2 linked regions of the Daphnia pulex genome follow. The protein of the gene in region 1 interacts with the protein of each later gene in a pairwise test. Links are inferred from orthologs where the notes say so. Each region holds a gene or a part of one and is shown on either strand. Other genes may lie near its edges. The genes, in order: nuclear pore complex protein Nup50-like and importin subunit alpha-1-like.

Region 1 (4,168 bases):
AGTCCAGCAGCAACCGCGGTCCGTTTATAAAGAAAGAAGAATAATCGTGGAATGGAAAGTATAGATTCACAAGTATATGTGTGCGACATACAGTATACGGAAATAAATCATTCGCTAAATGAAACACCGTGGGGTTTTCGTTTGCTCGTCCGTCGCAGAAGGAGAAATTAGATAATTGTAGATAAATAATACCAGTTCTCGAAAGATGTTAATATAACCGAAATGGTGTTGGTTCAAACTTTTTTTTTTCCATCGGCGATCTAGTTGGGTTATCTCCTTGTATACATTTTGGCGCTATTCGTCTTCTAGCTCGTTGAGATTTCATCGTAACCTTTTTTTTTTCTTTTAGAGTATTTCAGTTGGGCCGTCCTCCAGCGTGTGCAGCCAATTGAAGATCATCATATTCCTCATGTATTTTGACAGTGGCCGGCATTGATCACGTTCGACGTCGTTGAGAGTGAGGGCGCTTTTGATCCATGTGGCATCCAGCGGAGATGAATTACCGCCAGATCCGGCTTTGGCACTCAACGACTCCTCACCGCTTCCGAAAGGCTGACACTGTGACTGCTCCGACTGCATCGTCAGATCCACCTGGCCACTGGCCGCCTCGGCAACGACGGCAATCTGATCGAGATTAAACTGGCTCTGCGACAGACGCTCCAGCGCCTTGTAAGCTGTCAGGAGCCGGGGAAGTTTTTGTATGTTATACATTATCACTGGGGCACTAGCACTACACAAGCGACACCAAATGGGATTTGTTGGCAACTTATCAACGATAAGTTATTATCTTTGTAAGGACCATTGTGAGTGACTGACACAGGCCGGTGCGATTTTTTATTTGAAAGTCGTTTGGATTTAATTGACTTGTATTGTGTAGTAGGGTGATACACACCCGGACATTTTTTTGCGGTAAACCAATTTTACGAAATTCAATTTTTGCTTGCGATTTCTTTCTTTCTTTTTGGGCTGTTGTTGTTTTCTTTTTGTATTTATTTTTTAAATTGCGTACTAGTTATGGATATTGACATAATTCAAGTACTCCCGTTATTTGAAGATTTTGCCCTTTCTATCTTTTCTCATGTAAAATCCAAATCCGTGCCTTTCAGTCAAATTTATGTTCTTATTTGATTCGAGTGCACTGTTCTTTGTGATTCTTGTTCGGCTCATGTTAGACTATGCGTTCCTCTAGAAGGTTTCTTCATTTATTACCATTCGACGACAAGTGCTGGAGATTACACCAAGGTGACGGTCTTGGGCGGCAACACCCGCACTCATATTGTCACTCATTTACTGCCCGAGACGCACTACGATCTGAAGATGCAGTCCTTCAACATGCAGGTACCCGTTCAGCAGCAAACTTTCGTTTACATTTCTATCCCACCCATGGAATGTCGTGAAGTATAATTTCTCTTCCACTTTGACTTTGCCGTGAGCTGGGTACGTCTGAATTCTTCTTAGGTAAATTATCGGCAATTTTTAGGCTATTCACTCATTGAATGGAATTTTATTTATATTCTCGAAAGATGGGTACGACCTCGAGTAAACGATGTTTAAAAAAAATGTCTGGCAACATTGTTGCCAGACAGTGTTGCCAGAATTTTTTTTCACTGGCTCGAATCGTGTGAAAATCGTGTGAAACCGGAAATTGTAATTTACTTTCAGTTTTAAATTGTAAGAGTAAGACTCCGTTCAGTTGACTTATTAACCCAACAGGTAACTTCAAATGGCTAAGCGTACGGCGACTCGAGAATTAAATCACGACAACTGGAATGACGAAGAAGAGGAGGAGGAGGCGGGAAGCTTCCAACAGGCTTCGGACGAGGCATTAAAGGGCCGTGTGATTAGACAAGCAAAAAGAAGGATTGCAGGCAATGATGGAGAGGTAATTTATTGTGCTAAGTAACAATCTAGTCAATTGGTTAACTAGTATTTAAGTGTGTCAGATGTTTTCCACATATTTCTCAGGTTTTTTTGTAACCAGGTTTGAATGAATGACAGAACTACAACCGTGTTCCCAATTCCAGAATATTTTTTTACAGCGTGTTTTATTTTATTCCCTTACAGGCGAAGAAGGGTTTTTCTGGGTTTGCTGGTTTTGGAGTTCGCACAGGTTCTGAACCCAGTAAAGCATTCTCCAACTTTGCTATCAAAGTACCAACTACTGTAGAAACAGGCAAGACAGAAAATGGAGAAAAGACACCAACTGATAATGGGGCTAATGAAAAAGAGTACCTTGCCAACCTAAAGTCTCTGAATGAGACTGTTACAACATGGATTACAGACCATGTAAAAAAGAACCCATGCTGTGTACTCACTCCCATCTTTCGAGATTATGAAAAGCATTTGAAAGATCTAGAATCCAAACGAGCTTCACCATCTTCAAAAGAAAACATGACTACTGAACCTGGCAAGATTGACAGTGAGAAGCTTGAAGACAAGAAATTCCAATTTGGTTCTGCATCAGCAGAAGCTCCAAAACCCTCTTTCAGTTTCTTCGGCAATGGGTCGACAGTTTCTACACCGGCCAAACCACCCTCAACATTTTCATTCGCTAGCTCAACGCCGACAACAGCACCATCGATTTCAACTTTTTCCTTTGGCGCCCCTGCTAAAAGTGATCAAGAATCAAAGACTCCGTTATCGACATTTTCGTTCAAGGCATCCAGCACTAGTTCAACCACTAGTCCACCTTCTACCGGCGGGTTGTTTGCCTTTTCCGGCACTAAACCTGCTGCTACTACTACTACCGCACCAGCCTTTTCGTTCGGGTTTTCTAGGTAGTAATCCAACAAATCAATTTTTCATTTTAATGTCTTTAATTCGTATTATTATCTTTGTGTTTCTAGTACTAAGCCGGCAACAGAAGTGAAAAAGGAAGAAGCGGAAGGTGGTAAAGACGGCGAGGAAGGAGAAGATGAAGACGTTCCACCTAAAGTGGAAGTTAAAGAAGTCAAAGAGGAAGACGCCTTCTATTCTATAAGGTACAAATTTTACTTTTATTGGCTTATTTTTTGTGTTTTAACGCTAACATTTTTCCCGCTCAGATGTAAACTGTTTTACAAAAAGGATGCCAATTACACGGAAAAAGGTGTTGGCACAATCCATCTAAAGAAAGTCAAGGACGATAAAACGCAACTGGTGATCCGTGCCGATACCTCGCTGGGCAACATTCTTCTAAACATCATTTTAAACCCACAAATAACGACCCAGCGAATCGGCAAGAATAATGTCATGCTGGTTTGCATTCCCAACCCGCCTATTGATCCAAAAACGCCGCCTGTCCCGACACCCATGCTCCTTCGTGTGAAGACGGACACTGAAGCCGATGAACTCTTGGCCAAATTGAACGAAGCAAAAAAATGATCGACTTGGGTCAGTCATGCATAATTTGAGTTCTTTTTGTTTCTTCCATTTTCTTGTGATCCCCCATTTCACTATTTTATTCATTCAATTATTTTTTTACGATCTGTACAATAACAATCCCCGTTTGAGACGACCGTGATTTCACCACAGGCAAATTTCAAATCAAATTCAATACAAGTAAGAACCTAATATGTAGTTTCTTTTCTTTTTATTGTACGGTTGATTCAAAAGAGTGTGGAGTATGCCGTCATCACGAATCACGATGGAATGTCGTATTTATTCCGGACTGACTGGATGGTAACATTCTTGGATGTGAGCCGTGAGCCGACCGAGATTTAATATGTGATCTGGTTTCAGCATTTAGAACTCGAAAGGAGATGACAGACGAGCTCTGCGGAATGGGAAACCATCACGTATTGAGTTATCATAATTTTTTCGTATCAATATTTTCCTGTCCAGTATGTCACTCATCGATCATTTCCAACTTTAGGAGGAAAAAATAGTCAAACCGACTACGCTACGGTTAAGCCCCTTTCACTTGGTATTTTTTTTATTTCTCAAGATTTTTTATGGCTTTACGTCATGGCGTATCAGCGTTCAACTACATGTCTTTATAATCGACTAGTCCCACGAGGGAGAAATAGTATCCAACTGTGTTTGATGTCGTGTTAAGTAAGTCAGTGATGAAGCCATCACGGTAGAATCGGGTTGTAACCGTAGAGGCTAGTAAGCAAACATTGTTATAATTGGTTGATGACTTCTGAATTAATTGCTGATTGTTTTTATTTTGCATTTCTTATAAGAA
Region 2 (4,551 bases), on another chromosome or scaffold:
TCTTGCTGGTGGTCGTTGCAGGTGTTGGTTTCTTGGTTGTTTGGGCCTCCTGTTTCGTGCATCATCAAATAATAATGCGCCACATTATGTTCAATTAAAAAAGAGACGTGGAACAGATTGAAACTTAAACGAGAAATGTCAAAACAACTCACCATGGCGACAACCAGGCAGACGGCAACCAGAAGGAAGAGAATCGGAAGGAACTTCATTTTTTATCTAGGAGATCAGACGTGGGGGTTTAGGAATTCAAACGCCCAAGTGGGTCGTCATTTTATAGTCGAGCCGCATTTTTCTATGTCGATTATTTAAGTAGCGCCAGTTGAACTATCGGATTCAAATGAAACTTGACAATTTACGAGGGGCTGGAAAATGATTGGACGTGATACGAATGTGTTGGAATAAACACCAACTGCAACACCAACTTTGCAGGGTCGTTGTAATCCAGTTGAACCGATGACGGGAGTTGCAGCTGTTCACGTTGGATTTCTCCGTTTCTTTTGGAACTGCCCGGCGGATTGCAACTAATTGTGGGGAAATTGGAAATGAAAAGGAATTTTAGAGTCTATTAGCACACGTGACCTAATCACAGAATATGATTAGTTTTTAAGAAACGTATAGACTGAAAAATGTGTTTAACGTATTACGTGCACACTGTCCAGCACGGATTTTACGACCACCTGTGTCGGAATTAGCGATTCCAACTGAACTATATTTGGTACGCTCTGTTGATCAAACTTGTCGAAAGGCTAAACGGTCCCCTCTTGCAGTCGGATGAAACTGATTTTTAAAAATAAAAGTTATTTGCCTGCCACTGATTTAATAAATTAAATGAAATAAGATATATAACTTGAATTCACAACTGTTAGTGTTTAAAGCAATTAAAACGTTTTAATTTCTACAGAAAGTTTAGAGATCAGACAAGAGACATTGTAAATCTAAATTTCATTCTGTATGTTTGGTATCACAGCTAGGCCTACCTCATTTCGTTAGGAAGATGTATTAAAATGAAGTTTCTTCCATACTTTATCTGTTGATTCTGTTCACACTGATTTTGGATGATACTCTTACAACTGATGGAAAATTTGGTCTGAAAAATATTTGAAAATTTAGTATAAATTAATTTGGGTTGTGGGAGAAAACTTTTCTTTCTTCCAGATGGCAGTCTAAAGTTTAAGCTTTCAGGAATCGGCTGGCACTGGCTGGTATTCAAATTTTTGCCACTTTTTTAGTTTGGAAAACAGTTTTATATAAATTGAATGTTCAAGATTACTGGATCTATATTTGTATAACTTCTTCCTGCCAACATAAAAATTGTTGATGCTAGTTTTATGAAAACTGTTTAAACCAGGGGAGAGATCTCTGACACTGTCATTTGGACATCATCATACATCATGTTCTTAAAGAAAGACTTCCAACAGATCATTAAGTCAGAAGGTTAATTAATGAGAAATCCTATGGTAACAAATTCTTATTAAAATCAATTATCAATTTCAGTTAAATTCTATTATGACCAGCTCCATCGGCGTTTTTCATTTTCTGCTTATTTTGAAATTTTAAATTTTCTCGTCTGCTTATACGTTGCCAGATTTGATCCCATTCCGATTGCATCAATGAATAAATTTGGCAACAGGCAACGGTTAGGTTTGAAATTCCCTCCCCCTTCTTCTTCTTCGTCGTCTGGAATTCTCTTAGCGATCAAACGGTCACCATTCATCAATTGATTCTTGCTCACAAGTCCCGCAGGTAATTCCTCTCTCTATTAATTTTCAATTTTTCTGACATTCCCACGTGGAATAATAGTTTACTTCTTGCTTCGACTATAACAAATTGTGAAATAATGGTATGAGTCATCATTGACACATTTTTAACGACTGCCATAGTCTGGGAAATTTTGCACGTGGCGCGGGAAATTTTTTCTCTTTGTTGCTTCATTGTCTCGAGTCCCATTTCTCATTTTTCTTTTGTCATTGTGCCAGATTTGAAAATCCCTTTTAGAATTCTCTTTCTTTGACAGCTGGAGTAAATTACACTATCACAATGCCTACTGAAGCAAATCCCAGCCGGTTGAAGGACTTCAAGAACAAAGGCAGAGATGTTGAGGTAAATACCTTAAAATAACTAGTGTCAGTTCTCAAATGTAACAGATTTTTCATCTTTCTTGTTCAGGAAATGAGGAGGAGACGTACAGAGGTGAATGTTGAGTTGCGGAAAGCCAAGAAGGAAGATCATTTGTTGAAGAGACGTAACCTTGAAATCGATGATGAGCCCCTCAGCCCACTCCAAGAACAGAATCGGATGGCTGCAGCAAATATGAGCATTGAGGACATAGTCAATGGTATGTGTGCATCAGTTTTTATTTCTGAGTTGCTTCTCATATGTTTTTCATTATCGTTAGGTATCAACAGTGGTGATGAGAACAAGGAGATCACTGCAACCCATGCTGCCCGTAAAATCCTCAGCAGGGAACGTAATCCACCCATTGACATCCTCATTAATGCAAATGTTGTTCCGAAGCTGGTGGAGTTTCTCAGTCGTGTCAGCAAGTATGTCAAGTGTCTCTTTTGGTTTTTGAACATTTCCTAATGGTCTTTCTTTGTTTCAGCCCCGATCTGCAGTTTGAGTCAGCCTGGGCTCTCACCAACATTGCTTCAGGCACATCTGACCAGACAAAGGCTGTCGTCAGTGCTGGGGCTGTCGCTGGCTTCATTTCCCTGTTGGGGTCACCTCATCCAGTTGTGGCAGAGCAAGCTGTTTGGGCTCTGGGTAACATCGCCGGAGACGGACCAGAGCTTCGTGATCACGTCATCGAGCAAGGCATTATCAAGCCTCTGCTTACTTTGATTAAACCTGATACTTCGGTGAGTTTTATTTTAAATTTACGTTCGTGTGCAGTTGTTAATTGATTTGATCTATAGGCCACATTCTTGCGTAATGTCACTTGGACTTTGTCCAACTTGTGTCGTAACAAGAATCCTCCGCCCAGTGTCCCTGCCGTCCGGCAACTGCTTCCCGCATTGGCCCACCTGATCCACAACAACGACAAAGAGATCCTCGCCGATGCTTGCTGGGCTCTTTCTTACCTCACCGATGGCCCCAACGAACGGATTCAGGAGGTTGTCGACGCCGGTGTCGTCCCACGGCTGGTCGCTTTGCTGGACCACGTTGAGGTGGCCGTGATCACCCCCACTCTGAGAACAATCGGGAATATCGTTACAGGAAGTGACATTCAGACCGATTCCGTCCTGGCTGCTGGTGCCTGCCCGTTGCTGGCCAAGTTACTCGTTCATGCTAAGATGAACATCGTCAAGGAGGCTGCCTGGACCGTGTCCAACATTGCTGCCGGCAATGCCATCCAGATTCAGGCTCTCATCACCAACAATGTTATTCGTCCGTTGGTGGATGTGCTGGGCAAAGGTGACTTCAAATGCCAAAAGGAGGCAGCTTGGGCCATCACCAACATCACTTTAGGTAACTTATTTCATTTTTACTGGTGTTTTATTGATTTTTAATTGATTTTTCTTATTCATTTCAGGTGGCAATGTGGAGCAGATCGCCTTGTTGTGCCAGTTTGGTGCCATCGCTCCGCTGTGCACTTTGCTGGAGGCAAAGGAACCCAAGACCATCTTGGTCGTGCTGGATGGATTGGCTAATATTTTGGCCGCAGCTGAGAAAATGGGTGAATTGGAGAAAGTTTCCCTTCACGTCGAAGAGTGTGGTGGTCTGGACCGCATCGAAGCTCTGCAGAGCCACGACAATGTTGAAATCTATCACAAGTCATTGGCCATTCTGGAGCAGTACTTCTCAACTGACGTAATTTATTCTTTTTTTATTGTTTCTTTTTTTGGGTTTATTTCAATGATTACCACAACTGTTCACATTCATAGTGTTTGTGCTGACAACTTAACCATTACTGAGATTTTAGAAAATTAGTTTTATTTTGAAATAGTGTTCTTGAATTTGATTTAATCGTTTTTGTTTGTTATTTCGACAGGGGGATGAAGATTCCGAGTTGGCGCCATCTACATCGCAGAGTGGCAATTACGAATTCAACAACTCGCCATCTCAAGCCCCCGAAGGAGGTTTCTCATTCTAAATTTTGTATAATCTAAAAATTCTTTTTGATTTTTTTCTGCCTTTACAACGGTAAATATATTCTTCACTTTCTTGAACGCTATCCTAATCATGAGTTTTGGCCTTTTCTTATTTCAAAGTTTTTTTCTAAATTGTTTTTTAATTGAAAGTTGCCATTTGCTTTCATTTCTGTCCATGCACGACGTCTTCTTTCCTCTTTCTCAATGCGCGATAAACGAGCAATACAAAACAACTCGATCAACTCTACATTTGATAAGTTTTGATTTTGTCGTGCTAGTTTTTATTTTTTGTATTTCAAGTTGATTTCCTGATTCCAGGTTGTTGGCTGCTTACAGTTAATCCGTGTTCTGACATTTGTAGATAATTTCCACATCAAAGTTTCATTTCTACGTTGACATTTAACCCTAACAGATACTACTATCGACTACAGGAATCATCTTACAACGTCTGGACCCTTAT

The links.
Region 2: the proteins of nuclear pore complex protein Nup50-like (region 1) and importin subunit alpha-1-like interact in a two-hybrid assay, tested with the Drosophila melanogaster proteins (2 studies listed by BioGRID). The link is inferred for Daphnia pulex from reciprocal best matches to the Drosophila melanogaster genes Nup50 and Pen.

The regions. Positions count from the first base shown.
Region 1 is NC_060026.1:3,791,155-3,795,322, forward strand, and holds nuclear pore complex protein Nup50-like, read left to right. Parts: upstream 1-1,584; 5' UTR 1,585-1,647; intron 1,648-1,713; 5' UTR 1,714-1,723; coding exon 1,724-1,882; intron 1,883-2,064; coding exon 2,065-2,777; intron 2,778-2,839; coding exon of another isoform or gene 2,840-2,846; coding exon 2,847-2,981; intron 2,982-3,044; coding exon 3,045-3,363; 3' UTR 3,364-3,552; downstream 3,553-4,168.
Region 2 is NC_060028.1:48,834-53,384, reverse strand, and holds importin subunit alpha-1-like, read left to right. Parts: upstream 1-1,590; 5' UTR 1,591-1,743; intron 1,744-1,976; exon of another isoform or gene 1,977-2,014; 5' UTR 2,015-2,037; coding exon 2,038-2,100; intron 2,101-2,166; coding exon 2,167-2,335; intron 2,336-2,395; coding exon 2,396-2,543; intron 2,544-2,602; coding exon 2,603-2,858; intron 2,859-2,915; coding exon 2,916-3,468; intron 3,469-3,532; coding exon 3,533-3,810; intron 3,811-3,991; coding exon 3,992-4,093; 3' UTR 4,094-4,338; downstream 4,339-4,551. UniProt on the Drosophila melanogaster protein: Binds specifically and directly to substrates containing either a simple or bipartite NLS motif. Promotes docking of import substrates to the nuclear envelope. Seems to act as a cytosolic receptor for both simple and bipartite NLS motifs.